Linked DNA regions of Stegostoma tigrinum. The protein of the gene in region 4 interacts with the protein of the main gene of each other region in a pairwise test. Links are inferred from orthologs where the notes say so. Each region holds a gene or a part of one and is shown on either strand. Other genes may lie near its edges.

Evidence for each region.
Region 1: the proteins of egfra (region 4) and ptpra interact in binary tests that used the Homo sapiens proteins (3 or more experiments, as listed by UniProt). The link is inferred for Stegostoma tigrinum from reciprocal best matches to the Homo sapiens genes EGFR and PTPRA.
Region 2: the proteins of egfra (region 4) and stip1 interact in binary tests that used the Homo sapiens proteins (3 or more experiments, as listed by UniProt). The link is inferred for Stegostoma tigrinum from reciprocal best matches to the Homo sapiens genes EGFR and STIP1.
Region 3: the proteins of egfra (region 4) and eps8a interact in binary tests that used the Homo sapiens proteins (3 or more experiments, as listed by UniProt). The link is inferred for Stegostoma tigrinum from reciprocal best matches to the Homo sapiens genes EGFR and EPS8.

Annotation. Positions count from the first base shown.
Region 1 is NC_081354.1:170,237,203-170,245,095, forward strand, and holds the start of ptpra (receptor-type tyrosine-protein phosphatase alpha), read right to left. Parts: upstream 3,095-7,893; 5' UTR 2,990-3,094; coding exon 2,955-2,989; intron 300-2,954; exon of another isoform or gene 30-299; intron 1-29. UniProt on the Homo sapiens protein: Tyrosine protein phosphatase which is involved in integrin-mediated focal adhesion formation.
Region 2 is NC_081395.1:4,430,411-4,438,025, forward strand, and holds the start of stip1 (stress-induced-phosphoprotein 1), read right to left. Parts: upstream 3,044-7,615; 5' UTR 2,987-3,043; coding exon 2,972-2,986; intron 1-2,971. Other genes in the region: ADP-ribose glycohydrolase MACROD1-like, read left to right, coding at 7,499-7,615. UniProt on the Homo sapiens protein: Acts as a co-chaperone for HSP90AA1. Mediates the association of the molecular chaperones HSPA8/HSC70 and HSP90.
Region 3 is NC_081378.1:42,685,935-42,693,057, reverse strand, and holds the start of eps8a (epidermal growth factor receptor kinase substrate 8a), read left to right. Parts: upstream 1-4,084; 5' UTR 4,085-4,249; intron 4,250-7,123. UniProt on the Homo sapiens protein: Signaling adapter that controls various cellular protrusions by regulating actin cytoskeleton dynamics and architecture. Depending on its association with other signal transducers, can regulate different processes.
Region 4 is NC_081355.1:101,250,789-101,257,905, forward strand, and holds the start of egfra (epidermal growth factor receptor), read left to right. Parts: upstream 1-4,012; 5' UTR 4,013-4,108; coding exon 4,109-4,187; intron 4,188-7,117. UniProt on the Homo sapiens protein: Receptor tyrosine kinase binding ligands of the EGF family and activating several signaling cascades to convert extracellular cues into appropriate cellular responses.

The DNA.
Region 1 (7,893 bases), on a different chromosome or scaffold from region 4:
TTGCCTGCCACTGACGCGGCCAATAGTACCTCCGAGCACTGGAGGAGCTTTGCCACTGCAGCCAGTGCCAGCAGCGAACACTGAGGGGGGCCCCATCTATGCCGTCACCATCGCTTCTAGTCGCTGGGAGGAACCATATCAGCTGCTGCAGCCACCTCAGACCATGCTCTTGCTGCTGCTGATGTGCTACTGCTTCTTCTGATCACTGAGGGGCCTGCGAGGCTGCTACCTGCTACCATTCCTCTCATAGTCCGTTGTCACTGATATGTCGAAGCGTCCGAATAACCCACTGCAAAAGGCTTGAAAGAAAAGAAATATGAGAAAAAGCAGAAAAGAAAAACAGCAAATGTAAAAAGAAAGAAAGCAAGCAGATGAAAGTGGGTGAACCCCAGGCTCGGGAGCTGACATGCAGCCCTGCTACTCTGCCGCTACGAATTATGAACTTGAGAATTGATCCTGTGACGCATGTTAGGCTAACTAACTTACAGTTTTCTGCTTTCTGCTGCCATCTTTTCTTCAAGAAAGGTATTAACATTTGCTATTTTCCAAACCACTACTGCCCTTCTAGAATCAAAGGAATTTTGGAAGAATACAACCAACACATATCCTCATTGTACTGCCACTTCTTTTGATACCCAAGGATGTGAGCCATCTAGTCCAAGGATTTAGGTGCCACTATTGCCAACAGTCTTTTTTAAGCACCTTTTCCCTGGTAATGATGATTGTTCTAAATTCAACCTTCTCTGTCATGTTTGATTTTCAATAATCTTTTGGGAATTGTCCGAGTCAACTTCCATGTAAAACCCAAAATAATCAGTTTAAAATCTCTGAGATAATGGGAACTGCAGATGCTGGAGAATCCAAGATAATAAAGTGTGAAGCTGGATGAACACAGCAGGCCAAGCAGCATCTCAGGAGCACAAAAGCTGACGTTTCGGGCCTAGACCCTTCATCAGAGAGGCTCTCTGATGAAGGGTCTAGGCCCGAAACGTCAGCTTTTGTGCTCCTGAGATGCTGCTTGGCCTGCTGTGTTCATCCAGCTTCACACTTTATTATCTTAGTTTAAAATCTCTGCCATTTCTTTATCTTCCAACATCAATTCTCCTGACTCCCTCTCTGGAGGACTAACTCTGGCTTTAGAGTCATCAAGTTGTACAGCACGGAAGCAGACCCTTTGGTCCAACTTGTCCATCCTAAATTAAACTAGTCTCTTTTGCCAGCATTTGGTCCATATCCCTCTGAACTCTTCCTTTTCATGTAGCAAACCACATGCCTTTAAAATGTTGTAATTGTAACAGCCTCCACCACTTCCCCTGGCAGCTCATTCCATACATGCACCATCCCTCTATGAAAAAGTTGCCCTTAAGGTCTCTTAAATCTTTCCCCTCTCACCTTAAATCTAAGCCCTCTAGTTTTGGACTCCAATATCCTGGGAAAACGATCTCAGCTATTTCCCCCTATCCATGCCCCTCATTATTTCATAACCTCATAAACCTCTGTAAGATTCCCCTCAGCCTTTGAGGCTCCAGGGAAAATAGCTCCATCCTCTCCCTACAGCTCAAACCCTCCAACTCTGGCAACATCTTTGTAAATTTCTTCCGCACCATTTCAAGTTTGACAACATCTCTCCTACTGCAGGGAGACCAGAACTGAATGTACTATTCCAAAAGTGGCCTACCAATGTCCTGTATAGCCGCAACATGACATCAGAACTCCTACACTCAATGCACTAACCAATGAAGGCAAATGTACTGAACACCTTCTTTACAATCCTGTCTACTTGAAACTCCACCTTCTAGAAAGACCAGTTCCTTGAGGAACTTGATATTGGTCTCAGCAGAAGTCGCAAGACAAAACATGTCTAACTAGTGCAAAAGTAAAACTTCTAAAACAGAATTGGAAATTGCTGGAAAAACTCAGGAGTTCTGGCAGCATCTGTGGAAAGAAAGCAGAGATAACGTTTCAGATCCAGAGACCTTTGACAGCCAGACCCGCTGAATTTTTCCAGCAATTTCAGCTTTTGTTTTTTTATTTCCAGCATCTGCAGTTCTTTGGCCTTTTTGTTTAATGTGAGAACTTCTAAAATCTTCCTTTTTCCTGAATGATGGAACATCCTACAAAACTATTCCGTATTTCGCTGAGGGTAATGTTTCAAGTTCCACAGTCATGTCTCCCAGAGCCCTTCACAATCTCATATGTGTCAATGCGATAAATGGAACATTGTCTTATCAAAGTCCTGCACAATCGTAGCAAGGCCTCCTTTATTTTTGTATTGCAATCGTGAACAACATGCTATATGCTTTTCTTTCCTAAATACTTGCTGTACCCTGCAAGCTGTGTTCCTTGGTCAACTATATGTTCCTCTGAACATCAATGTTTATAATGTGCATTTGTTTAAAAATGTTTTGATTTTTCCATTCTCAGGTCTAGAGTCAATAACCTCACAGAATTCTTCCAGCACAGGAAAAGTCTGGCTCTCCAAAGAGCAGGTAATGTCATTCTTTCCGTAACCTTGCACTTTGCGCTTTGAAAAAACACAATCGAGAATCCTTTTTAATGCATCGGTTTCTATCATACTCTCAGGCAATGCAATTAGCTCTGAACTACTTGCTATCTCTTAAAGCCATCTCAGATATCACTTTTGCTTCATCTACTAATTACTTCAAATCTGAGCCCTCTTGGTATCAATCCTTTAATAAGTGGGAAATGTTTCTCCTTATTTACACTGTCATGATCTTTCACAATTTTGACTGTTCTGAAGAAGGGTCAATGGACCTAAAACGTTAACTGCTTTCTCTCCACAGATGCTGCTAGACCTGCTGAGCTTTTCCATCAGTTTCTGTTTCTGTTTCCAGCATCTATAGTTCTTTTGGGTTTTATTTGCCAGTGACTTACCAAGTTAACTGGACTGGATGTAAGAGTAGAATACTGTATATAAGTATTGAAATAATTACATAATTTGACATCCTGAAACAAGAAGCTTGCTCATTGTAATAAGCAGAGCTAAGTCTTCATGAAGTCCAATCTCTGGGGCACCGCTGTATTTCAGCCTATATAATGCTGTTGAAACATGCTGTTTGGCAATGCAGTTGGCTCAGAACAGCTGTAAGCAGACGCTGAATAAAGATATAATAAAAAAAAATCACACCATGCATTCTCAAATGTGATAAACATAAAAGTTCACTTCAAACAGACTCAGAGACACAAGGGGTAAACTGAAAAAGACAACCATCATTGGAATACTAAGATAATAAAATGTGAGGCTGGATGAACACAGCAGGCCAAGCGGCATCTCAGGAGCACAAAAGCTGACGTTTCGGGCCTAGACCCTTCATCAGGTAGTGCTGGCACAGTGGCACTTTCACTGGATGAGTAAACCATAGGCTCCGACATAGGGGATATGGGTTCAAATCCCACCATGGCAGAAGATGAAAACAGAATTCAGCAAAAATCTCAAATTGAAAACTAGTCTCACGGCAATTGTGTAACCACTGTTGATTGCCATTAAAACAAAACTTCACATATTTTTTAACGATGAAATCGGTCATCCTTACCCTATCTGTAAACTATGCCCCTCCAAACTCTTAGCAATGTCGTTGACTCTAAAGTGCCAGATAGCAATGGTCCTATATCAATGCTGTTTCAAACTCTAATAGGCCACATGGCATTGACCCTAGCATAGGAAAGAACAGGAGCAAACTAGCTGGGGGCTTGAGTGAAAACTGGGAGAGCAGTCCCACTACAACAGTTATATACACAGGTTCAAATCTTAGATGACAATGGCCTGAACATCATCACTGGCGCTGGACACATCCAGACCAAATGGCTGGAAAATGCCAAGAGAAATGACAGAACAGTGATCCAGTCTCAGGCAGCAGTTGGCCTAGGAATCTTCAACATTAACTGTGAAGCCCATGAAGTTGCATGGCATCAGGTTAAAAAAAATGGGCAAGGTATCCAACTGCAACACCTCCTGCTGCCATCTAATGAATCATTTGATTAAATGACCATTTAATAAAATATTCTTCCACATTCAACACTGCAGATACAGAAAGCACTCTGGCTGAGGACTTCAAAGTTGATCACCAAGATCACGTCAGCAGCACCACGACTGTCCTGCAGGGCTGTCAGTCTTACTTTGGTGGTGGACAAACTGTTGAGAGGTTGGATAACACCTGTCACTTAGAAAGGCATGGACTGGTTGGGGATAGTCAGTGTAGCTTCATCCCTTACAAATTTGATTGATTTCTTTGGAGAAGTGGTAAAGAGGATTGACAATGGTACAGCAATGGTTGTCGTCTACATAGATTTTAGTAAGGTATTTGACAAGGTCCTAAATGGCAGACTGGTCAAGAATATAAAAGTCCATGGGATACAGGTTATTATGTCTAATAAATGGATCTAAAATTGGCTTAATAATAGGAAATAAAGGGGAATGGTCAATGGCTGCTCTTGGGAATGGAGAATTGCCTCAAGTGGTGTTCCACAGTGTGCAGTTTTGGACCCCTGCTGCTTGTTTTATACATTAACTTCTACTTGAATAAAATAGCAAATTTACTGTGCAGTGGTCAGCAAAGAGGTTAGCTGTAAGCTCCAAAACTATATAGATGGGTTGGTGCAATGGACACAAAAACAGCAAATGGAGTTCAATTCTGTTAAAAGTGATATAATTTATTTAAGGAGGTCAAACAGTAAAAGATAATACACAGTAATTGGGAATACAGTGAGTGGATAGATGACGTGAGAAAGTTTGACAAGTGCACAGATCCCTAAAGATAGCGGTACAGGTTGATAAGGTTGTCAAGGAAGTATATGGAATGTTCTGCTTCATTGGCAAAGGTACAGAACTCAAAAGTCAGGGTGTAATGATGAAACTATACAACACAATGGTGAGGTCACAAATGGAGTACCATGTGCAATTTTGGTCATCACATTTCAGTAAATACGTAACTGCTCTGGACAGAGTCAGAGACCATTTAATAAAATGTTACCTGGTGTGGCTAATTTTAAAAATGTTATTCATGGGTGGAGTGTTGATAGCTCAGCTATCATTGGTTGCCCATTTCTAATTGTCCTAGGGAAGGTCCTGATGGTGTTGAACTGCTTTTTTGAGTTGTTTCAGTTATTGGGGCTTAGGGATGGAAACATGAATGGGAGCTCCAGGATTTTGCCCCAGAGACAATGAAGGAATGACAATATACTGCCAAGTCAGAATGGTGTGTGACTTAGAGTTAATAGTATTCTTATATATCTGCAGCACTGGCCCTTCTAGATGGTAGAGGGTATGGGACTGATCGGTGTTGTCACAGAGCTACAGTGAGTTACTGTGGTGGATCATGCAAATCATGCATACTGCTGGTACTGTGTGTTGGTAATGAAGGGAGTGGATAGGGTGTCAGTCAAGTGGGCTGTTTTGTCCTGATGGAGTCTAGTTTCTCAAGTGTTGTTGGAGTGTACTTATCTAAACAAGTGAGCGTATTCCATCGTGTTCCATGTACACGGTGGACAGGCATTGAGGGGGCACAAGTTGAATTACTTGCTGCAAAACCTTGAGTATTTTAGCTGCTCTTGTAATCAGTATTTATGGAGCTGGTCCAGTTCATTTTCTGGCCAGTGGTAACTCAATGTTAATAGTAGGGGATTCAGCAATAGTAATGCCATATAGTGTCAAGGATTATGATTAAATTCTGTTTTGTTGTAAATAATCATAGCTTGGTGTTTGTGTGGCACAAATAGGACTTGTCACCTGTCTTCCCAAACCAGGATGTTTTCAATTCTTCCTGCAGACACTTCACCTGCTTCAGTACTGGAGGTGTCATGAGATGTTCTAGAGTGCAAGTCTTCATTGCTATTGCTGGCATGTTGTTAGGCTCCTCAGCTTAGAAAGATCCAATGCCTTCAGCCTTCTAATGGTATCATGTGGAGTGAATAGAATTAGCTAAAAGCTGACATTTATTAATGGCCACTCTGAATGGATCATTCACTCAGCGCATCTGGCTGAACAGCCTTGTCTTTAGTACTGATGTAATGGCTTCCACCTTGGTTGTGAATGGGGTTATTTGGGGAAATTTGTTTAATTGTTTGCCACCATTCATAAGTGACCAATTATACCATATTAATGCCCAGTTTTGAGTTGCTAGAGATAATAGGAACTGCAGATGCTGGAGAATCCAAGATAACAAAGGGTGAAGCTGGACGAACACAGCAGGCCAAACAGCATCTTAGGAGCACAAAAGCTGAGGTTTCGGGCCTAGGCCCTTCAGAGAGCTCTCTGATGAAGGGTCTAGGCCCGAAACGTCAGCTTTTGAGCTCCCAAGAAGCTGCTTGGCCTGCTGTGTTCATTCAGCTTCACCCTTTGTTATCTTGAGTTGCTAGATTTGTTCTAATTTTGCACAGTGGTAATGTCACACAAAGCACCAACAAGTTATCTTTAATATGAAGATGGGACTTCGCTTCCAGAAGGACTTAGAGAGAGCAACACTACCACACTCCCTCCACCCTCAAAGCTATTTCAGGAGAAAGACAACACTGGCACCTTGTCAACAAAATGGATAAATGCATAACTATATACTGTCCACAAAAAGCAGGCTAAATCCAACGTGACCAATTACTGCCCCAAGAGTCTTCTGCATCATCAGCAACATAATGGAAGTAGTTGTCGACAGTCTAAACAACTGCTTTTCTTTTATTCATTCAAGGGACGAGGGTATCGATGGCTTGGGGCATTTATTGCCCATCCCTAATTGCCCAGACAGCCGTTAAGAGTCAGCCACATTGTTATGGGTCTAGAGTCACATGTAGGCCAGACCATGCAAGGATGGCAGTTTCCTTCCCTAAAGGACAATGGTGAATCAGGTCGGTTCTTCCAACAATCAACAGTGAATTCATGTCATCATTAGATTCTTAATTTAATAAATATCTGAAATTCAAATTCCACCATCTGCCATGGTGGGATTTGAACCCAGATCATTATCCAGGTCTCAGGATAAACAGTCCAGCGATAATACCACTAGACCATCGCCTCCCCGATACTGAACCCTAGTTTGGGCCACTCAGGTCTTGTCCATTTTTGGGCCAAGACTACTAGAAGGTCTGAAATCACAGGGTGAGATGGGAGTGACTGCCATTGATAGCAAGGCTGTATTTGACAACAGTACAACATCAAGGGTTCCAAGCAAAACTGTTGCCAATGGTGTGATTAAAACTTTATAACTTTACATACATCACCACATTTTTAGAATTTGGATTCAAGATAGAAGCAGACGAATAAGAAGGATGTTCTTTCAAAAAAAAAGTTGAGTTCTTCCAGAACGTGTTTTATATCAACAGGTAGGTGTCCCAACAAGGGACAGTACAGTACTAGATCGAACTCTGGGAAATGAAGCATGTTTCTTGGTTGAGGTGACATTATGAGCACATTTTAGTAATAGTAACCAAAACATCGTGAGTTTTCAGTTTCTGGAAAAGGAGAACAATGATCTGCAAGATAGGCTTTTGGATTGGAGGCAGGCAGATTTCATTAAAATAAGGCAAGATGTGGGCAGAGAACAGAGAACATAGAACAGGAACAACCCTTTGGCCTACCATGTCTGTGCTAACCATGACGCTATTCTAAACTCACCCCAGCTGGCTGCACATGGCCCATGGCCCATATCCCTTCATTCACTGCCTGTCTGTCTAAATGCCTCTTAAATGTTGCTATCATAGCTGCTTCTACTACCTCTCTTGGTAGCAAGTTCCAGACACCTACCATCCTTTGTGTTTAAAAAAAAACTTTCCTCACACATCTCCTTTAAACTGAACCTCTCGCACCTTCAGCCTCTGCCCCCTAACATTTGACATTTCCACCCTCCAAAAACAAACTCCTAACCATTCACCCTATCAATGCTTTCA
Region 2 (7,615 bases), on a different chromosome or scaffold from region 4:
ATGGCATGAAAACAGACCCTTCAATCCAACTAGTTCATGCTGATCGTGATCCCAACCAAACTATTCCCACCTGCCTGTGCTTGGCCCATATCCTTCTGAACATTTCTTATTCATGAACTTATCCAAATGTCTTAAACATTGTAACTGCACCTGCCACTCCCCTAAGAAGTTCATCCCACACACAAACCACACTGTATAAAAAGGTTGCTCCCATATCCTTTTGAGAATCTTTCTTCGTTCACCTTAAAAATAGGCCCCCCAGTCTTGAAACCCCCCACACTGGCGAAAGACTCTTGTCATTCACCTTATTTATACCCCCCAATTTTACAAACCTCTGTAAGATCATCTCTCAACCTCTTACACTCCTGTGAAAGAGGTCCGAGCCTATCCTTATATCCTGTTCTACATTACCCAAGATCCTACCATGAATGGTCCAAGTCCTGCCCTTGCTTATTTTATCAAAAGGCAAAAACCTTGCATTTACCCAAATTAAGTTCCATCTGTTACTCCTCAGCCCATTGCCACAATTGATCAAGATCTCTTCGTAATCTCAAGTAACCTTCCGCACTGTCCACTATAACCACCAATTTCAGTATTGTCTGCAAACTTATTAACTGGGCCTTCCATATTCTCATCTAAATCATTTATATGTAATGAACAAAAGCAGACCCAGAACCATCCTTGTGGAACCACCAGTAACAGGCCTCCAGTCCGAAAAACAACCCCCCCACTGCCACTCTGTCTCCCGTTGTCAAGCCCATCTTGAATCCTATGTGATCTAACTTTACTAAGTAGTCTACCATGTGGAACCTCGTCATAGGTTTTACTAAAGTCCAAATAAATAATGGTCTACTGCATTACCCTCAATCTGCTTGGTTACTTCCTCACAAAGCTCAATCACGTTTCAGAGACATGGTGTCCCGCACACAAATCCATGCTGACTATCTGTAATTCTTCCTGGCCTCTCTGAATGCATGTAAATCCTATCTTTTACAATCATCTCAGACAACTTACCCACCAATGTCAGACTCACGGGTTTATAGTTCCCAGGCTTCTCCTAACACCAAGGCATAACATTAGGCACCTCACTGGTAGTTACGGATGGTACAAATTTTTCCTCCCTAACTTTCCACAAGGTCCTTAGTTACACTAGATCAGGTCCTGGAGATTTATCTTCTGCTATATTTTCTAAAGACCTCCAGAGCTTCCTCTTCTGTAATGTGAGCTGCCTTCAAAACATCAATATTTATTTCCCCGAGTTCTCTCACCTCTATTTCTTTCTCCACAATAAAAACTGACAGAAGAATTTTAAATGGATATTTTCTATCTGCTGAGGCTCAATACAAAGACAACATATTTGATCCTTAAGGGGCCCTACATGCACTTTCTCCCTCTCTCTCTCCAGTTGCTCTCTTGCTCTTAATGTACTGATGGAATTTCTTTAGATTATCCTTAACATTACCTGCCAAGGCTCTCATTCCCTCTTTGCCTTCCTGAGCTCCCTCTTAAGAATGCCCCTACACTCTTTATGCTGTGCAAGAGATTCATTTGAATCCAGTTGTCCATATCTCATGATTCTTTATTCTTGACTAGAATCTTAATATCTTCATTCATTCATTGTTCTCTAATCCTACCAGCCTTACCCTATAATCAGAGGAACATAATGACTCCAAACTCCCGTTATCACATTTTTGAAAGCCTCCCACTTATCACATGTCCTTTTACCCATGAGCAGTCTACTTCAATCAACTTCTGAAAATTTGTGTCTCATATCATTAAAAATAAAGTTTTAATTGGAAAAAGGTTAACTTTCATAGAGGGCCTATCCTTTTCTAGAACTATTTTCAGTCCAATAGAATTATGATCACTTGTCCTAAAGTGTTCCCCTACTAACACTTCAGTCACTTGCCCTGTATTACTACTCAAGGAGGTCACATTTTGCTCCTTCTCTAGTCAGAACATTTATGTATCAATAAAAAAAATTCCTGAACACATTTAACAAATTATTCACATTCAAATCTTTAACACTCCCAGTCAGAGTTTGGAAAATTAAAATCACATATTAGAACCCTATTATTATGTAAACTGGAGAGTTCTCTACATATTTCTTCAACATCCCCCAACTACTTTGGGAGGGGGGGTAGTTTCATACAATCCCATCAACATGATCATTCCTTCCTTGTTTCTAATTTCTATCCATATGTTTTCACTGGACAATATTTCAGAAATATCTGCTCTAATTACTGCAATAACATTCTTCCTAACCAAAAACACCACTCCCCCCTCCTCGCCTGTCTCCCTTCTTCCCACAGCACCTGAAACCCAGAACACTGAGCTGCCAGCCCCGTCCTTCCCTCAGCCAAGTTTCTGTAATCACTATGACATTCCAATTCATGTTCCTCAACATGACAACAGCTTATCTGCCCTACAAGTAAGAACACTTGCATCGGAATAAATACAGTTCACTTCTTCAGAATTATCGTGTTCTCAGACTTGCTCTTGTTCTTCTAACTAACTTGTTCTTGCAAGGCTCGCATCCATCTTTCTATTAACGCTGTGACTTAGGATCTCTCATAGTCTCAACGAAGACGTTGGTCCCTTTCCAGTTCAGATGAAACCCATCCTTTTTGAACAGGTCTTTTCTGTCCCAAAAGAGATCCTAATGATCCAAGAAACTGAATTCCCAAACATTATAACATCTCTTTTGCAATTGATTTATCTCTTATATTCATTCCCTTATTCCAGCTGGACACCAACAGTAAACCAGAGATTACTACTTTTGAGGGTTTATTTTCTACCTAACCTCACGTTCACGTTGTAATGGAGCTCCACCCCAGTACAGCCAGTGCAATAATAAATCACAGGACCCATATATCGTCCTGCTAACGTCCTTAGTTTAGGACAGGGTTGTAGTGCACTTTTTTTCAGTGCTTTCTCAAGCGTTTATTTTGCGTTCCTTCCTCTCTCTTACCTTCGCCTGATCCATTACCAGTTCGATCAGCTCACCACGCGCCTTCTCGAACTTACCAGAACTCACGCCGGAAATCCCCGCCCTCACCTCCTACACGCTCCCATTGGCCGCAGCCCCCAACTGTCTCCCTCTCGATTGGTCCAATCGTCAGTCCATCTACGGGTTGCATCCAGCCCCCACAGTCCTCATTGGCCCAAATCTTCAGGTTCTTTCATTCTGATTAGTCTGCCTGGCAGTCCATCATCGGACGCAATCCCGCCCCCTCCTTTCACGCTCTTCTTATTAGTTAGGGTCTTCAAGTTCTTTTCTCTTCCGATTAGTCTAATTGCCCGTCTGTCTCCCGGAGGCCGAGCCACGTCCAAGGACGTTCCCTATGTTCTCATTCAATTGGCTCATTCAACAATCCATCAAAGGAAGCCTGCCCGCCTCTAACGCTTCGCACCCCGTTGGTCCAGCTTTCCGAGATATCGCTTTCCGATTGGCTGTCCTACCGTCAATTACAAAATGTTCCCCACTCATGCCGGTCGTACCGCCTGTTAAATGGTCAGGGTTGGGTAATGGCACTGTCAATCAGGACGGCATGGCCAATTGGTAGAACAGCTACGCCCTAGGCCCACCCACTCATGCCAATGGGCTGACCAGTTTTTAAAACGGCCAGAAGAACATTCTAGAGCACAGCAGTTGGAGGCAGTTCACTTTGAGGGTCTTTACAAACAATTTACCTCCAAGATTCAAATAGAATGTATTCTGCGAATATTGGGATGATGAGAAGCGTATGAGGTGGAACAGGCACTTGTGCGTTGCAAAATACCTATAATATTTAAATCAAAATGTTTGTATGGTATTTATATTGAAGAACAAAAATGGGAATAAATAACAGCAACATCCCACATACCTCCTAACTAATTTCTAAATCTGTCTCTGACAGCATATGCAAATTTTAAAATGTACATAGCTGATCAGAACTTTGACAGATTCACTGAGTTCCTACAGAGTGAAAGCAGGTCGTTCAGCCCATTGAGTCCACCCAGACCCAGCCGCTTCCCCTATCCCTGTAAACATGCGTTCCCCATGGCTAATCCACCTAGCTTGCAAATGGCTGGATACTTTAGTATGGCCAATCCACCAAACCTACACTACTTTGGACTGTGGGAAGAAACTGGAGTACACCTACACCAACATGGGGATTTTATGAAAACTCCACACAGACAGTTGCCCGAGGCTGGAACATGGAACATGGCATTGGGAGGCAGCAGTGCCAACCACTGAGGCCACCATGCCACTCAATTTGATTTGAAAACAATGGAATATGCAATACAAATCAACTTGTCTCTGCAGGTCATATCCAACTAATATGGTTGTACCATCGTAATATTCACACACGTATTCCACGTTGGATCTTAGGATCCCCGGCAGTTGAAGGCAAGGTTGAAAATGGTAGTATGTTGGGAACAGGGGGTGCTCAAGAGGATGGAATCGGAGAGAAGAATGAGAGAAGGGTGTCGGGGCTGGAGGAGATTATTAAATCTGCATCAAATCCACTGTTAGTTTCAATGAAGGGTCACTGGACCCGAATTGTTTAAATTTGCTTTCTCTCCACAGATGCTGCCAGATCTGCTGAATTTGTTCTGCAATTTCTGTTCTTGTTTCAGAATTTTGATCCTGTTGGGTTTAATTAAGCTCAAGCTCATTGTTCACCACGTATTAACATACCTTCCATTGTCTTTAAATCCTTCCTAAATCATATTTATGTGTCATTTTATTTTGAAACCATCTAGGTAATTCACTTCAACATGTTCTGTAGGAGTTCCACATGCTGACCACTCTGAGTATAGAAGTTTTCCTGATTTCCCATTTGGATTCCTTCACAGTTTTGAATTGTCTGACAAGTGTGGATATTTCATCCACTGCCTATTATTTGCTTCTCTTTTCTTCCTACCTAAATTTTAAAATTTTATCCCTAGAGTTTGAAACCCTGAAAATAATTCCTGTTTATTGACCAACTAACTCTTTAGGTGGTTCATGATAAAGTTCTTAAATCATCTTCTCGGCTCCTGTGAATCACCTGAAGGAATGTTTTACAATATTTAGTGATGCTCAACGAATGTAAAATTGTGATGCAACAGGTTCAAGTGGACTTTCATCTGAAAATGAAGAATGTGTAGGGTTATGGGAAGAACGCAGATGAATTACTGTAAGTAAGTTGTTCTTTTGGTATGCCAGCGCAGAAATGATGTGGCAAAATAATGTAACCATTCTGTGATACAGAAATAAGTGGAAGACAAGTTGTGAGAGGGATACCAACAGTTTACAGGGAAACATTGATAGGTTAGGTAAATGGGCAAAAACAGACAAATTAAGTATAATGTGGGAAAACACGAAGTTGTTTGTTTTGGAAGGCAGAACAAAAGAACAGTATTATTTAAAAGAGAAAAACTGCATAAACACAAATGGACTTGGGGTAACTCAGTGTGAAGCTGGAGGAGCACAGCAGGCCTAGCAGCATCAGAGGAGCAGGAAAGTTGACATTTCAGGCCAGGACCCTTCAAAAATGAGGGGCAGGGGAAGACAGCTCTGAAATAAACAGAGAGGAGGGGTAGGGCTGGGGAAGGTAGGTGGGATGGTGATAGGTGAATGCAGGTAGGCAGTGTTGGGGATTGGTCAGTGAGGTGGGAGGAGTGCATTGGTGGAGAGAACATGGACAAGTTGTGTCAGGTCAAGAAGGCAGGAATGAGAGAGGAGGTTGGTCATGAGTGTGGAAAGATTTTGAAATTGGTAAAGTCCATACTGAGAGCATTGGATTATAGGAATATGAGGTGCTGCTCCTCCAGTTTCTGGGCGGTGTCATTGTGACACTGGTGAAGGCCCAGGATGGACATGTCACCCAGGGATTGGGAGTGAGAGGGGGATTTGAAATGGTTCGTGACTGGAAGGTATTGTCTTTTGTTGCGAACAGAGCACAGGTGCTCTACAAAGCATCTATGAGCCTCCACTGGGTCTCACCGATGTAGAGGAGGCCATGCCTTCCAGTCACAAACCATTTCAACTTCCCCACCCACTCCGTGGGTGATATATCCATCCTGGGCCTCCTCAAGTATCACAATGACGTCTCAATTTTGAAAGACATGTCCTGATCTGAAATGCCAACTTTTCTGCTCCTCTGATGCTGCTTGGCCTGCTGCTCCTCCATCATCAGCAGTTCTTGCTATCTCTGAGGGACTTAAGGGACTTGTACATGAAACACAGAAAGCTAGCACACAGATGCAGCAGGTAATCAAGAAGACTAATGGAAGGTTGTCCCTTATTTCAAGGCGATTGGAGTATAAAAGTAGGGAAGTCTCACTGTAAGCGTATATGTTGCTAGGTAATCACATCTAGACTGCTGTGGGTAGTCTGGACCCTTATTTAAACTGGGACAGTTTGGAGAAGGTTCATTAAGGATGATCCCTGGTATGGAGGGATTGTCTTATGAGCAAAGCTAAATAAGTTGGGACTCTACTCACTGGAGTTTAGAAGAATGGGAGGTGATCTCATTGAAACGTATAGGATCCTTCAGGGGCTTGACAGTGTAAGTGTGGAGAGGATGATTCCCCTCAGGGAAGCGTCTAGGTCTAGAGGGCATACTTTCAGAATAACAGGCTGTCAAGCCTTCTTTTGCCACAGGTAGCTGTGAAGGGTATCAGAGATAATGGGAACTGCAGATGCTGGAGAATCCAAGATAATAAAATGTGAGGCTGGATGAACACAGCAGGCCAAGCAGCATCTCAGGAGCGCAAAAGCTGACGTTTCGGGCCTAGACCCTTCATCAGAGAGGGGGATAGGGAGAGGGAACTGGAATAAATAGGGAGAGAGGGGGGAGGCGGACCTAAGATGGAGAGTAAAGAAGATAGGTGGAGAAGGTGTGGGTGGGGAGGTAGGGAGGGGATAGGTCAGTCCAGGGAAGACGGACAGGTCAAGGAGGTGGGATGAGGTTAGTAGGTAGATGGGGGTGCGGCTTGGGGTGGGAGGAAGGGATGGGTGAGAGGAAGAACCGGTTAGGGAGGCAGAGACAGGTTGGACTGGTTTTGGGATGCAGTGGGTGGAGGGGAAGAGCTGGGCTGGTTGTGTGGTGCAGTGAGGGGAGGGGACGAACTGGGCTACCAGGGAACTACAAATCCCAAAAGGCAATGCTCCTTGAGGCCGCTCGCCCAAATTCTGCTTTCCGATTGGTTCAGGCGGGCGCAGGCTACAAATTCCAGAGTGACGCACCAGGTAGAACTCACAGCCCACACTCCCACCGATTGGGATAACAAGCGGGAAACTACACCTCCCAGAGGGCGACGCACCCGACTTCCGCCCCCTCCGCTGCCTAGTTCGCTTGAGAGGTCACGTGTGCCGGAAAAGCTTGCTTCACCTGGAGTCCCCCTTCACAAAATTAAACGAACACCCCCCTCCAAAAAAATACAAAAATCATTGCAACGACCTCGACAGCGCCATCAGACATCGAGTACAGAGAAGCGATAAAGGTGCTCGGGCGGAAACGAAGGGATGGAGAAACTGTTCGCCGTGCTGAGGCGAGGTCGTTTTCCTTGGGGCTTGGGGCCGTTTCGCGCGCCGCCCGTTTCGAACGTTTTTCGAATCCAACGGTCACAACAGTCGGCGGCC
Region 3 (7,123 bases), on a different chromosome or scaffold from region 4:
GATCACCTTATAAATGTAACTCTGCAATGGTGAACAGGTCTAAAATATTTATTTCTGATTGTGGTACTAATTATTCTATTGAAGTGCACATGCTTTGCACAATCAGAAAATGATTTACTTCTCATTTTACTCCTCATGACTATATTTTGTACAGACACAATTAATTGATTTATGAATTAACCTTCTATTACTTATTAACTACTAATTATTAGTAACAGACTCTCAGTCTCAGTGATTCTTTTTTATTCATTCACTAGATGAGGTTGTTGTTTGCTAGGTCATGACTACCTTTGAGGTTCTGCATTTAAATTTGAATCTGAATTCCTCAAACTGTCTCAGAGAGCAAGATACCTAGTATTTCTGATGTTATTGTTCCAAGAATCCACTGAGAAAGGACGTGCCCAAACATTGACAGAAGGCATGTATCACAACCTTTCAGTGCTCCTGGTCATAGCTGTGGTGAATAATATCTATGCCCTCACTGTACCGTCCTCTACCACATACTTTCTAATTACAACATTACCCTCCTCCCCAACATGATTGGCATTCTGTACGATGGTTAGCCTCAGAGAAACCTCTAGATGCTGCACAGCTTAGAAAGGCTGTTGGATCAGTTTGGTCATAGACACTATAGTCCTTAGTTTTCTCTACATTGACTGCAAGTATATTTAACTAGTTGCAATCTTCAAAGGAATCACTACATGCTGGCTTGCATAACTGCCTCACTGACATTCATAATCCCCTGTGCCTGGTCATTGATCATTTGCAAAGTTCTACCTCACCTGGGGGATGTCATTACCACCGGAACTAAGTGCTGAGGAATCTCCCTTTTGTTGATGTCCCACAACGTCTTCATCAAAGACATCAGCTCAGCAGATCTGGGTTGAAGCTGTAGACAGTAGACTGTATTGTCATTCCAATGTATTCCCACATTTTCTGTCTATTTATACCAATAGCCCTGCCATATCTTTTAAATCTTGATTTAATTAGTTTAGTTGATAAATAAAATAAATAAAAGAAGTAACAGCAATTTGCAATCAACTATCTGGGAAAAACAAAAAGAATTTTCACCAGCTACTGGAGGTAAAACAGTGAGATTAAAAAGAGTGCCTCCGTCCCACTCTTCACCAAATTCCCACATCTATCAAATTCTCAGCCAATTGGTTCACAAAACACTGTTTTTGGATCTCTCTCGTATTTCCCCAATCCTTCAATGACTACTTGAACATCTCTGGGCCACTTCAGGGTTGCATTCTTGGTCATTTCCCCTTCAGTAACTACTGGACTTTAATGGTGTTATCACCAGAAGCATGGATTCAAAACTACAACTTCAACTTATCCAACTTTAATGTAATAAAATGGCATAAAGTGCTACACAGGAACTTTATAAGATGCATATTAGAAGACATGAGGTCAGTTGACCAAATGTTTAGTCAAAGAGGTAGGGTTTAAGGAGTATCTGAAAAGAAGAAAGTGAGACAGAGAAACAGAAAGTTGTGGGGATGGTATTCCAGAGTTCAGAGTTTAGAAAGCTGAAGGAACAGTCACCAATGGTGTGGCGGTCAATATCAGAGATGGCCTAATGGCTAGAATTGGATGATTGTAGATATTTGCTGGAGGTGTGAGGGTGGAGGAGATTATAGTTATGAGGAGGGGTGAGGCCATGAATGGATTTGAACGCAAGCATTGAAATTTCAAAATTAAGACATTACGTAATCCAGAGGCAATGTAAATTAATGAGCACAGCGTTGATAGATGAACAGAACTTAACAAGTTAAGAAATGGAAGCAGAATTTTTGGGACCTCAAGTTTATGGTGGTTGAATGTAGGAGGTCAGCCAGTTACGCATCGGAAAAGTGAACCCGAGAGATAATGATAGAATGCATGCACGAATGCAGCAGATAAGCTGAGACCAAAGAGAAGTTGGGCAATATTATGGAGGTGGAAACAAGTGATTTTAATGAGGCATGAAATGAGATTGGAATCAAATGTGATATCAAGTCTACAAGTAGGCTGAAAGATAGTAAGAACTGCAGATGCTGGAGTCAGAGAGTGTGGAGGTGGAGGAACACAGGCAGGCCAGGCAGCATTTATTTTCTGAAGGGTGGCGACCAGAAACATCAACTTTCCTGCTCCTCTGACGCTGCCTGCTGTGTTCCTCCATCTCTGCACTGTGTTATCTATTACAAGCAGGCTGGGCTTGGTCTCAGACATCTGCCAAGAACACGGGTACAATCAGGGACAAATGAGTGGGACTTGGAGTGTGGCTGTTGGTTCTTCGCCGAGCTTGGCAAATGAATTGCAAACTTTTTGTCTCCAGTGGAGAAGACATGATCAGTGGGTAGGTTATACCAATATTTTGCAACATCTCTAACTTGGAGTGCGGCATGAAACTGGCATGACTTCAATCTTCACAAAAATCATTTGGGGAAAAGTCCTGTTCGTCGAGAATTGGATATTGAATAAGCATTGTAATCATTTGGAACAGAGAGCTAGTTATGAATTACAATTGGTTGTCTTCAGCATGCTTGCAAAAAAATTATGCTGTGCTTTTGGGATGAATTTGCCAAACAGCAGTGTATACATGATAAGTCGGAGGGACTGAGGACAGATACCTGCTGCAGCATAAGTGACGGTGTAGAAGTGGGAGAAGTATTACAATCTGCGCCATGATTATATTAAGAACCCAAGTGTATTCTCACCAATCTAGACAGCAGTTGACACGTGTTCGAAGAGGGTGGTGGGGTGTCAACTGTCTCAAAGAAAGCAGGTAATTAAGGACAAGGAGGGAGAATATACTTTTGTCATAGTCACTTAGGACTAATTTTTGGAAATGTTTCAAAGTGCTAGGTTGTATAATTACAGAAATTAGGTGAGTGTATTAGCAAAGCCAGAATAATGTTGATGGTGATTTTTTAACTTTAGCATAGAGGCAGATAAGCAGCTGACGGAAAGTTAGTGAATTTCTGAGATAGTGGGAACTGCCGATGCTGGAGAATTTGAGATAACAAGGTGTAGAGCTGGATGAACACAGTGGGCCAAGCAGCATCAGAGGAGCAGGGAAGCTGGTGTTTGGGTCTGGACATTCTGAAGAAGGGTCCAGACCAGAAACATCAGCTTTCCTGCTCCTCTGATGCTGCTTGGCCCGCTGTGTTCATCCAGTTCTACACCTTGTTATATCAGTGAATTTCAGAAGCGTGTCTGGCATAGTTTCCTACAGCAGTATGTTCTGGATGCATCAAGAGGTCAAGCAATGTTTGATTTCATAATGGGTGAAGAGTTGGATTTAATATGTAACCTAATTGTGTATGAACATTAATAAAATATTGATCATGGTATTATTGAATTCAACATAGTATGGGAAATCAAAAAGCATGAATCAGCTACTGGAGCTTTAGATTTAGGTAAGGCCAATTTAAACAAAACGAGACAGAGACTGTGCACAGTAAACCTGTAATCTGTTCACAGAAAATCTACTGATGGGTAAAAGAACTGAATGCAGTGATGATATTTAAAAGAAACATTTAACACAATACAAAACCAGTTTATTCCTGAAAGGGAGGAGCTCCACTTCGCGAAAACAGCCATGGACAATTAAAGAGACAAGGGCTAGCATAAAACTAGAAGGGCTTAGAAAAATGCAGAACGGGAAAGATACAAAGCCATAAGGCGCTTATTAGATCTAGATCTGGGGCGTAGAATGCATTGCCGGAATGGGTAGTGGAGTCGACCTCAGCGGCATTTAAGCGGCTATGAGATAGGCATATGGATGATAGTATAAGGTAGCGGCGGAGGTTAGATAGACCTTAGGATTAGGATAAAAGTTTGGGACAGCATCGTGGACCAAAGGGTCTGTACAGTTCTATACTTGGCGCAGGGTCAAAACCCTAAGAGGCAGGGGTTTGGGGATCTCTTTCATCACATGGACTGCAGAGGTTCAACTTCCACCACCCACCGTCTCAAGGAGCAGGAGGAACCGGGCAGAAAACTCCAGCACCTGAGGATAGCCCTGCAAGCGAAGACGAGCGGGTCCTGACGGGAGGTGGCGCTGGCGCGCTCAGCGGCGGACGCGCGTCCCCGCGAGGCGGTGTGGGGGCACGCGGGAGCGCTGCGCGAGCGGCTTCGGTTGTTCGCGTCTGTGCCCCAGGAGTTTTGCGGGGGGGGTGGGGGCGCAATTCGGGCGCTGCTCGCTGACGGCAAGTGCCCAGGTGCCTGGAGACTGAGATACCGATCGAGGCCGTGAGCTGAGGTGAGAGGGGCTGGGGATCGATGGACACGGTTGGCGTGGGGGTTTCGGAATCGGCCCCCGAGGTGCTCGGAGGGAGAAGGGGAGGGTGTGCGGCTGAAGTTGGAGAGCTGCCCAGGGATAGGAGCGTCACCCCACCCAGGGCCCGGACCCCGGACCCCGGACCCCGGACCCCAGACCCCAGACCCCAGACCCCAGACCCCATCCCGGTAAAGAGAGGGACCCCCTCACCCGGTGTGTTAATAACGTTGTTCCACTTTCCACACAACACAACTAACTCATTTAAAAAAAAATATAAAATTATATGTACTGAATAGTGTGGCCGTTCAGCCCGTTGACCCCGTACACGCTCTTTATAGCCCTGCTCTTCTCCCCTCCCCCTTTTTGTTTTAATCCCTATCCAACTCCCTGTTGAAGGCTGTTGTTTAACCTATTCCCACCATCCTGTCATTGGCTGGAGAGGGAGGGAGTGGGAGCTTCCTCTCCTGGGGAAGGTGATTTGGGACCTCCTGTTTTGGGTGTGTCTAACAGCGGCGGGATGGGACCTCGTACGCTGTGCGTGGTAAGATTAGGAACTCATGACCAGGCACGGATTTGGTTCCAGGTAAAGTTTTAAAACCGTTTTAGTTCTGAGGATATCGAAGTCATGCAGAAGTATTTTCTTTGGGTGAGAGTTGAGGGTCAGGCATCTGCCCGTAGCAGGGGTGAGTCCTGTTGTTACCCGGGCCCCCTGGACTCTGGCCAGTGAAAAGGTGGTCTGTTGCTTTGGATCTTTTTGTTTGTACTGAGCAATGTTGGCTAAGGTTGATTAACTTTTTATATGAATGGCATATTGTTGATAAAGAAACTCTCTAGTTTGTTTTGTTCTTGCTGCTCTTTGTTGTAAAGTATAGTGAGTTTATTTGTCATATTCTGTGACTATTATTGTGTGCCAGAAGTTGGAGGTTGGTCAGCTCTGTTGGCTATCTTGCTAATACTGAGTGAGGCCAGTAGCATTGGTTTAGTTTCCACATTGGCTAAGGTTACCAGGAAGGATTGCCCTCCTTAACTTCTCCCCTTCTCGGAGGTGTGGTGTGTGAGGTTAAAAGACTAACATCCTGTGGTCTGGTACAACTATAGCAACTGTACACCAGAGGTGTAAACGTATGGTGGTATACTGATGTTGACATAAGAACACCTTTTAAACAGGAATAACTGAAATGAGGTGTTCCAAAACAGTTTTTAATTCCTGTTTTATCTGAACCTCCCCTTCGAAACATAACTTTTTCACGACTACTTTTAGAAAAAACATGCACAGATGCTTTGGAGTAGTTTTTTTAGTTTTAACTTCTATTAAATTGTTCTGGAGTTGTGAAATATTATGAAATGTGGATATTGTATGTAGTTCATAAAAAATATTTATGGACAGTTTAATTTTTTCATCTTGTCTGTTTAAACTTATGTAGTTCCTTTTTAGTGCAATTGCAAATTAAACTGTAAATCTCAGTATAGGTTGGGTCTGTTCAGCTTCATTGTGGCTGGCTGAAGGTAAATGATCTTCAAAGAGGTCATGAAAGGGCAAAGGTAATGTCATCTTCTAAATCATTTTTGTAGAAGATAATTTGAAATTGGAGGAAAACATATTGTGTGAATCAACTAATGTAGATAATTGAAATTTTAAAGCAGGAGTTTGTTTTTGTTTGTGGTGACCTGATAGTGACTGCTGTGAGAACTGGATTAGATGTAAATGTAAACTTGTGTAAAAGCAAACCAATTTTGCAGAGGAATTTTAAGGCATGATTAAGTTTATAAAAAGCTATTTCCTTTCTTGTGCTTGAGATTGGTTTTGTGATGGACCTTATTGAAAGCACCTAGATCTGATTCACAACAATGGGTTATATTTGTTAATTATGAAGAAGTGCATAATGTTTCTCAATTTTCTTTTTTGGTCAGAGTCCTTTTGTCACTTCAAGAAAAGGATGTACGAAAGTGATAACTGCAGCTTTCATGATTGACCATTTGGGCTTGAATGTACTTGATTTGAAATCTGTTATGCAGATTGATGTGTGATTTTTAATTGAGATGAAGTAGGAATCATTTTGGGTGGTTAATAACTTTTAAAGGGTTTGGAGGTGTACGTGAACATTGGTTTACCTCAAAAGGACATCCTTTTGCTTTGATTCATTTGATTTTTGCTTTGAATGCATCAGCTGAGTTAAAATTTGAGAGATTAGTCTTCATGTTACCCTTTCGAAACTCTGTTTATATTTCTAAACTATTTGGTTTAAAGCTTCAGTGAGGTGCTAATGAAGAGAAATATAAAATAGTTGATTGTTCCTTATTGTTGGAGTGATCTGATTTAGTATGTCTATTAATGAAAAGGCACACTGACTTTCAGTTTGTTCTGGTAGTTTCTGCTTCTTGGGTTAAGTCCAAGTTAATTTTGATTATAGAATCATATAACCCCCATTGTGTGGAAATAGGCGATTCGGCCCAAAAATGCACACCGACCCTCCGAAGAGCATCCCACCGTATTCCTGTAACTCTGCATGTCCCACAGCTAATGCACCTAGCCTGTACATCCCTGGTCAATATGGGGCAATTTAACATGGCCAATCCACCTAACTTGCACATCTTTAGACTGTGGGAGAAAACCAGAGCACCTGGTGGAAGTCCACGCAGATACGGGAGAACATGCTTACTCCACACACAGTCACCAGAAGTTGGAATTGAACCTGGTACTGAGGCAGCAGTGCTAACCACTGACTCACTGTGCTGCCTTTGCTTTCTGACATCGCTTCAGAAAAAAATCAGGAAGGTGATGGATGTAAGTGCTCTCAATATTTTGTTTTAAAACGTCTACGCCTGTGTGCACCTGAAGCTGACCTCCACAGATGA
Region 4 (7,117 bases):
CCTAAAAGTTAATTTATCTCCAGCATTACAACCTTTCAAGATACATGTGTTCCTCTAATTCCAGCATCTTGAAAATTTTAGTTACTTCCCTGTGCCTTTGCTGTCTGTGGTACCAAATTCTGTAATTCTCTCTTTAAACCCTGCTGTCTGTAGAATTTTCCTTCCTCCTTTATGATACTCCTTAAAGCCTTCTTCCCTGACCATGCTCTTGGACATCTATATCTCTTCATGAGACGTGATATGACATTTTCTTTTAAGGTGGCATGGTGAAGGGCCTTGGAGCAATATACAAATATAAGCTGTTGTTATATGTTGGTTCACTTTTGGAGGACTTAATAAAGTTTAATATTACTAATCTCTGAGCTGTTTTGCTGTCTATTTTCCTCTTTGTATATTCAGATTATGTATGCCTTAGCAAAAGTCTTCTGCAGTCTAGATTGATTTACTTTAGAGACCTGGATAATCTGAGCACACTATCATGTCAGCTTTCCATCATGATAGTAAAGGCATAAATGAGTATTATTTTCATAGCTTCATGTATTAACAATTGAATTTATACTAAAGCCTTCTTGCAATGATACTAAACTATTTAATATATCCTTCAATGTCATTACCTTTTTTTAATTTATTGATTAATAGGATGTGGGTGTTGCCCGTCCCTAGATGCCCTTGAGCAGGTGATAGTGAGCTGCCTTCTTGAAACGCTGCCATCCACCTACTGTGGCCCGACCCACAATGCCATTAGGGAGGAAATTCCAGGATTTTGACCCAATGACAGTGAAGGAACAGCAATATATTGCTCGGAGGGGAACTTGAAGGTGGTGGCGTTCCCGAATATCTTATGCCCTTGTCCTTCCAGATGGAAGTGGTTGTAATTTTGGATTGTAGGATAACAAAGTGTGAAGCTGGATGAACACAGCAGGCCAAGCAGCATCTCAGGAGCACAAAAGCTGATGGTTCGGGCCTAGACCCTTCATCAGAGAAAGGGTCTAGGCCCGAAACATCAGCTTTTGTGCTCCTGAGATGCTGCTTGGCCTGCTGTGTTCATCCAGCTTCACACTTTGTTATCTTGGATTCTCCAGCATCTGCAGTTCCCATTATCAGTGATTTTGCATGGTGCTGTCTGAGGATCTTTGGTGAATTTCTGCAGTGCATCTTATAGATTGTACACATTGCTGCAAATAAGGGTTGGTGGTGAATGAAGTGGGTGCATGAAGTGCCAATCAGGTGGGTCGCTTTGTCTTGGATGTTGTGAAGCTTCTTGAGTGTTGTTGGAGCTGCACTCATCCAGGCAAGTGGAGAGTATTCCATCACACTCCTGACTTGTGCCTTGCCAATGGTAGACAGACTTTGGGATGTCAGAAGATATGCTGCAGTATTCTTAGCCTCTGACCTGCTCTTGTAGCCATTGTATTTATGTGGTGAGTCCAATTGAGTTTCTGGTCAATGATAACCCCCAGTATGTTGATAGTGGGGATTCAGTGATGGTAATGCCATTGAATGTCAAGGGGCAGTGGTTAAATTGTCACTTGTTGGTGATGGTCATAGCCTGGCATTTCTGTGACATAAACATTACTAACCACTTGACATGAGCAGTTTCAAATGGTGCTGAACATTGTGCAATCATCAGAGAACAACCCCACTTCTGACCTTATGGTGGAGGAACGGTTGTTGATGAAGCAGCAGAAGAGGGTTGGGCCTAGGACACTACACTGACGAGCTCTCACAGAGACCACATGGAGCTGAGATGACTGAACTCCAACAGCTACAAGCATCATCCTATCTGTCAGGTCTGACTTTAACCACCAGAGAGTTTGCCCCCGATAATAATTTGTTCCAGTTTTGCTACGGCTCAGTCAAATGTAATCTTGATGTCAACGGCTGCCATTCTCACCTTACCTCTGGAATTCAACGCTTTTGTCCATGTTTGAACCAAGGCTGCAATGAGGTCAGGAGCTGTGTGGTTCTGATGGAACCCAGCCAGGCATCACTTAGCAGGTACTGATAGCACTGTTGATGACACCTTCCATCACTTTATTGATGATTGAGAGTAGACTGATGGAGCAGTAATTGGTCAGATTGGATTTGTCCTGCTTTTTGTGTACAGGACATGCTTGGGCAATTTTCCACAATGTTGGGTAGGTGCCAGTGTTGTCTCTGTACTGGAACAGCTTGGCTAGGAGAGTGGCAAGTTCTGGAGCAGAAGTCTTCTGTACTGTTGCCGGAATGTTGTCAAGGCCCTTACCCCTTGTACTATCCAGTGTCCTAGCCACCTCTTGAAATCACATGGAGTCTATCGAATTTACTGACAACTGGTGTCTGTGATGCTAGGGATCACTGAAGGAGGCCGAGATGGATCATCCACTGGGCACTTCTGGCTAAGTATTGCTGCGAAAGCTTCAGCCTTTTTTTTGCACTGATTTTGCAAAATGTTTGCAATTATTTGCTGCCATAGCAGCCATGAACCATTGCCTCCTATATTGAAAAAAATTACATAAAATCTCCTGGACTAGTTTCTTTGAAAAGCGAAGTCTGGCATTTCTACTGTACACTGTGTACTATTTTGCTTAAACTATATCCTGGAAATGTAATCTTTTCAGACACTTGAAAGTTTATATCTAAAAGCAATAGTCTGTAAAGTGCAATTTAAAATGTTGTAGATTCTCAATGTAACATAAGTTCAAGTGCAAACACAGAGCAAATAAGAATTTATGTGAACCTGATAGAAGAGCAATTTTGAAAAGTGTTCAATGCAGCTGTGACTGGTATAGTGTTGTTCCTTTTCAGGAATGATCACAATTGGACTTAAGCAGAAAGAAAAGAAGCAGCATTTCTACAGTGTTTTAATATTAAGTCAGATATTGCCTCTTCACAACAAGCTGAAACGATTATTTGATGCTGTTAGATATAAGAATAGGTGTAGCCTCCTACTGACTGTGCTGAGGGCTGGAATTTTGTTATTCCTGAATAATTTGTTTGTTTGTCCAGCAGTTTAAGAAAGGGCATCTTGTATCCTCATACACATTGCAGGGATTCCAATGCTACTTCGTAATAGTTCACTTTCGAAATATACACAATCATTTCTGTAAATCATTCATTTAAACATATAATGTTTGAAAGCTGAAAAGGTGTAATGAGTATTTAACATTTCACAGTGTAGACTTCAGTCTGTATGCGTTGCTCCTCTCTCGAGTTTCTTTTTACCTCTTAAGGGAAGCCTTACACTAAAATTGCTTACATTATTTATGAACTTTAGGACCTGCTGGTGCCAATGGCACTAGAGTATGTTTCCTTCCTCCACACACCCTTCTCTGAATAATAGAGGTCATTAATGGTGCTGAAAAGTCTTTTTAACATACTCATGGAGGATACCTTAAATATGTTTAAATTCTACCTTCCCACCTATAAGTTAGTGTCATTGATACCATTTGGAAGGATAATAGTCTCTGCAAAGAACTTATATTTGCAAGATGCCTTGAATTTTTTTTTTCGCAGGTGTATTCACGTACACATTGCCAAAAGCGTTTCTCCTTGTCCTTAATTTTAAGAAAAATGAGACAAGTGAGATCTGTGTGGCTGCGAAGCGAGAAAAAAAACTATCCAAAAAGTGAAACTGCTGAACTCCAGTTCCACTTTCAGCAATGACGGTCGCGTTCGGACCATTCCATCACCTTCAAGCATGACTTGTATTTACCCTGCTCGCTGCTTCTCAGAGGTCTCGCCCTGCCCTGAAGGGTTAACAGGGAAAGTCTGAGGACTGGCTGCTACTTCTGGTTCACAGAGCCATCCAGTGATGAGCAACCGCTGGGAGGAGATGTGAGTGGGAAGCAATACCAGAGGAGGGTGCTCGATGTGGCCAGGGAGGGTGCTCTGTGTGCCCAGGGGAAGTGTAGGACCCTGTGAGTGTCAGTCTCACCTGGATTCTCTCTCTCCTCCCAGTGAATTGACGTCAGGCTGAGTGCTAGCTTCAGGCTGACACAGGCAGAGAGAGGGAGGGAGGGGCAGACACACAGACAGAGGGGCTGGGCTAGCTAAACTCAGCGCTAACTGCTGCCTACCCTGTTGTGTGCTCAACACGGGAGATCGCCCAGAGGGAAGCCGCTGAACCATGTTCTGTTCCCTGCTGCCGGGCTGCGTCCACCTCCTAATCCTTTTAAGTTTGGGCAGCGAGTCCCTGTCCAGGGAAGGTAAGAACCACAGGGACAGAGAGAGAAACCTTGAAAGCGGAGTCTTGCTGCCCCTGCCCCTCCGCTTCCTAAACACCTCCTGGAGTGAACTTATCAGAGCAAAGGGTCCGGAGGCAAGGGCAGTAGGTGGGGAGGAGCGAGATTGCCGAGTGCGGGAATGTTTGCTGCTGGGAACTGAAGTGTTCCGGGGACTTAAAGTCACTTTGCTGTCATCTCCTTTTCTCATCCATCCGGAGAGCTGGGGCGAGTGTGTTAGAGTGTTCGGGCAATCTGATCAGTTGGTACTGAGTGCCTCTCTCGTGCTTCGTTCCTTTTGCTCAGGGACTTTAACCTGTAAGAAACTCTGTAAGCAACGAGTTGAGTTACGGGATGTTTGTTTTGCCAAGAGAGGGTCATAAAGTTTGAGTTTCCCTAAACAAGCACAGATTCTTACCCATTACTGATCGCAGGCATTTCCTTCTTCGCCTTTTTATGTCAGTTTATACACATTTATGATTGCATAATTGCGTGCACTATCACTTAAAGCACAGCTCAAATAAAAAGGTCCGATTGGTTCAGGATCTCAAGGTTCAACCATGGATTATTGCAAGTAAAGGGTGTGCGATGCCAACGTACGAAAATGCAATGATCCTTTTTTTGTTAGCTGTAGCAAAATGTGTCAATTGTTTTGTCTTTATTTGTAACTATGCACAATAGCATGAACTTGATTCACATTTCACAAGCTTGTAGCGTTCTACAAAGGGGGCGAAGTTGCACTCAGTGAAGCAATCTGTACATTTTAAAAAAGTTAGCTGAAGTGTTGAATGCCCTGTGGAATTAGACATGTAACATCTGCCGTAGCAGCTCTGTGATGCTGTGTTCTGCTAAATGTAACCCAAATGTCCATTGATGTCTCATCAACATGATGAATATTTCTTGCACTTGTAGTTGACTATGGAAGTTATACACAAGGAAGTTGTGAGCAGACTGCTTCAGGAACAAATAATTTATTGTGTTCTACTGAGTTTTGTTTTAAGTCCTGATAATGTAGCTGACTGCTGAGTGGCATCTTCAGGATATTTGTCAACTAGTTGGTTTAAAAGTTTAAATTGTCTAATTTAAATAGTTAAAGGAACGAACTCTTTCTACTAAATTAAAATAGCATTGGTGCTAAAAATACAAAATAAATACAGAAGATACTAGAAATGCTTGGCAGGGCAGCCAGTCACTGTTGAAGTTGGTGAAATGTCAGTTTTGTATCTCCACAGATTCTGCTGGTTCTACTGAGGGGTTTTTTTCCAGCAATTTCTGTTTTGTTTTATTATAAAAGTTCCTTAATGATCTGATAGTACAGCAATCTTTTGTTCTGCATTTAAGGGAGTGCCATTTCCAAGGAAATATAAGGATAAGGTGGTGACTTTGTGAGTTGGCCCATAACAGTGAACCACTCATTTGTGAATTGCTCATTGCATTAAGACAAAGTTGTAAAGGCAGAAGCTAGGTTGCAATGGAAATGAACTTGATATTGTGATTGTTTGCAATTGTTCATAATTTTACTTGAGCATTTAGTGTTAAAATCCATTAAAAATTTGCTGGTTCATTTAGTGTGTGAAAAATAACTCAAGCAAATACAAATTACTTTTATATACATCCCCATCCATTTCCTTCTGCCTTGTAAAACCAAGGTTAAATTATGAGGGCAGCTTGTATAGATTAATCGTGTATTCATCCGATGATAGAATATTAAACAGTAATCTATTTGAAATGTTAACAATGTCTAAACGATTTGATAAAACAGAAAGAGGATTCTTTTCTCTTGTGAGGGAGGCAAAATAACATGGGGACATTAAACCTAGGGGCTATCTAGGCTGTTCAGGAATAATGTAAGGAAATATTTTTTTCACACACAAGATAATAACAATCTGAAGCTATTTTCCCTGCTCAGCAAAAAGGTTTTTTGAGGTTAGGTCATTTGAAAATGTTAGAACTGAAATTACTAGATTTTTGATGGGCAAGAATACTCAGTGTAGCAGAATGTAGATATTATGGTGCAGGTCAACAATTATCTGCTTGAACAACAGAACAGACTTGAGCTGAATGGCCTACTGTTTATGTTCTGTTTGCCACTGTCATCACTGTCATTGCTATTAGGATCCTTTCAGACAGCGATATTTATACTGTATAGGATATTGGGTAAAAATTCTGACACAATCTATATTATTGTTGAGCCTACAAGAGCATTTCCTACTTTACCGTTTTGACAAATTGTATCTGTGCCTCTCTGAATTAAATTGTGAGTTTGTGCCGTAAATGTTGAATTATGCCAATTTTGTACTGCCTCAATAAATTGTAAAGTTGGCCAAATTAGTTGAGATTAGGAGCCTTACTTCCAATAAAGGTCTTTCATCCTGTCGGCTTGATGTGATTGAATGTATCTCACGGAAAAATGATCAGTGTACCACTAGTTTAGCACCAGTGATGTTATTAATTAGCATTAATGTTTGATTGGCATTTTCTGTGCACTGCAGCCATAATATAATGTATTTCAACCCAAAGCCAGACAAAGTTTAACACAATACTGTATTAACTTTTCTCTCCTCAATAAATGTATCCCCATGAAATGAACTAATGTACACCTATTGAATTTCCCTTCAATTGCATTTCCCCCTAGAAAGAACAGAACACTGTTGATTTTTTAAAAGAAATGCTAATTGCTGTGACACCGCCAGAAGGGTGATGAGTTTAGACATTGGCAAGGTCATGTGTGGCAGTATATGATTAACTCTGTCTCTTTAGAAGATCCTCACAGATTAAGTGCAAACAAACTAAGCAGATTTTAAAAATCCTCCTTTCAGCATAAATTTAACGGATTTCCAGCTTTTCAGACATTTGATGTGAAAGGGTGAAATTATTTGTACATATTTACATTCAGGTGCATTGTATATTTCACT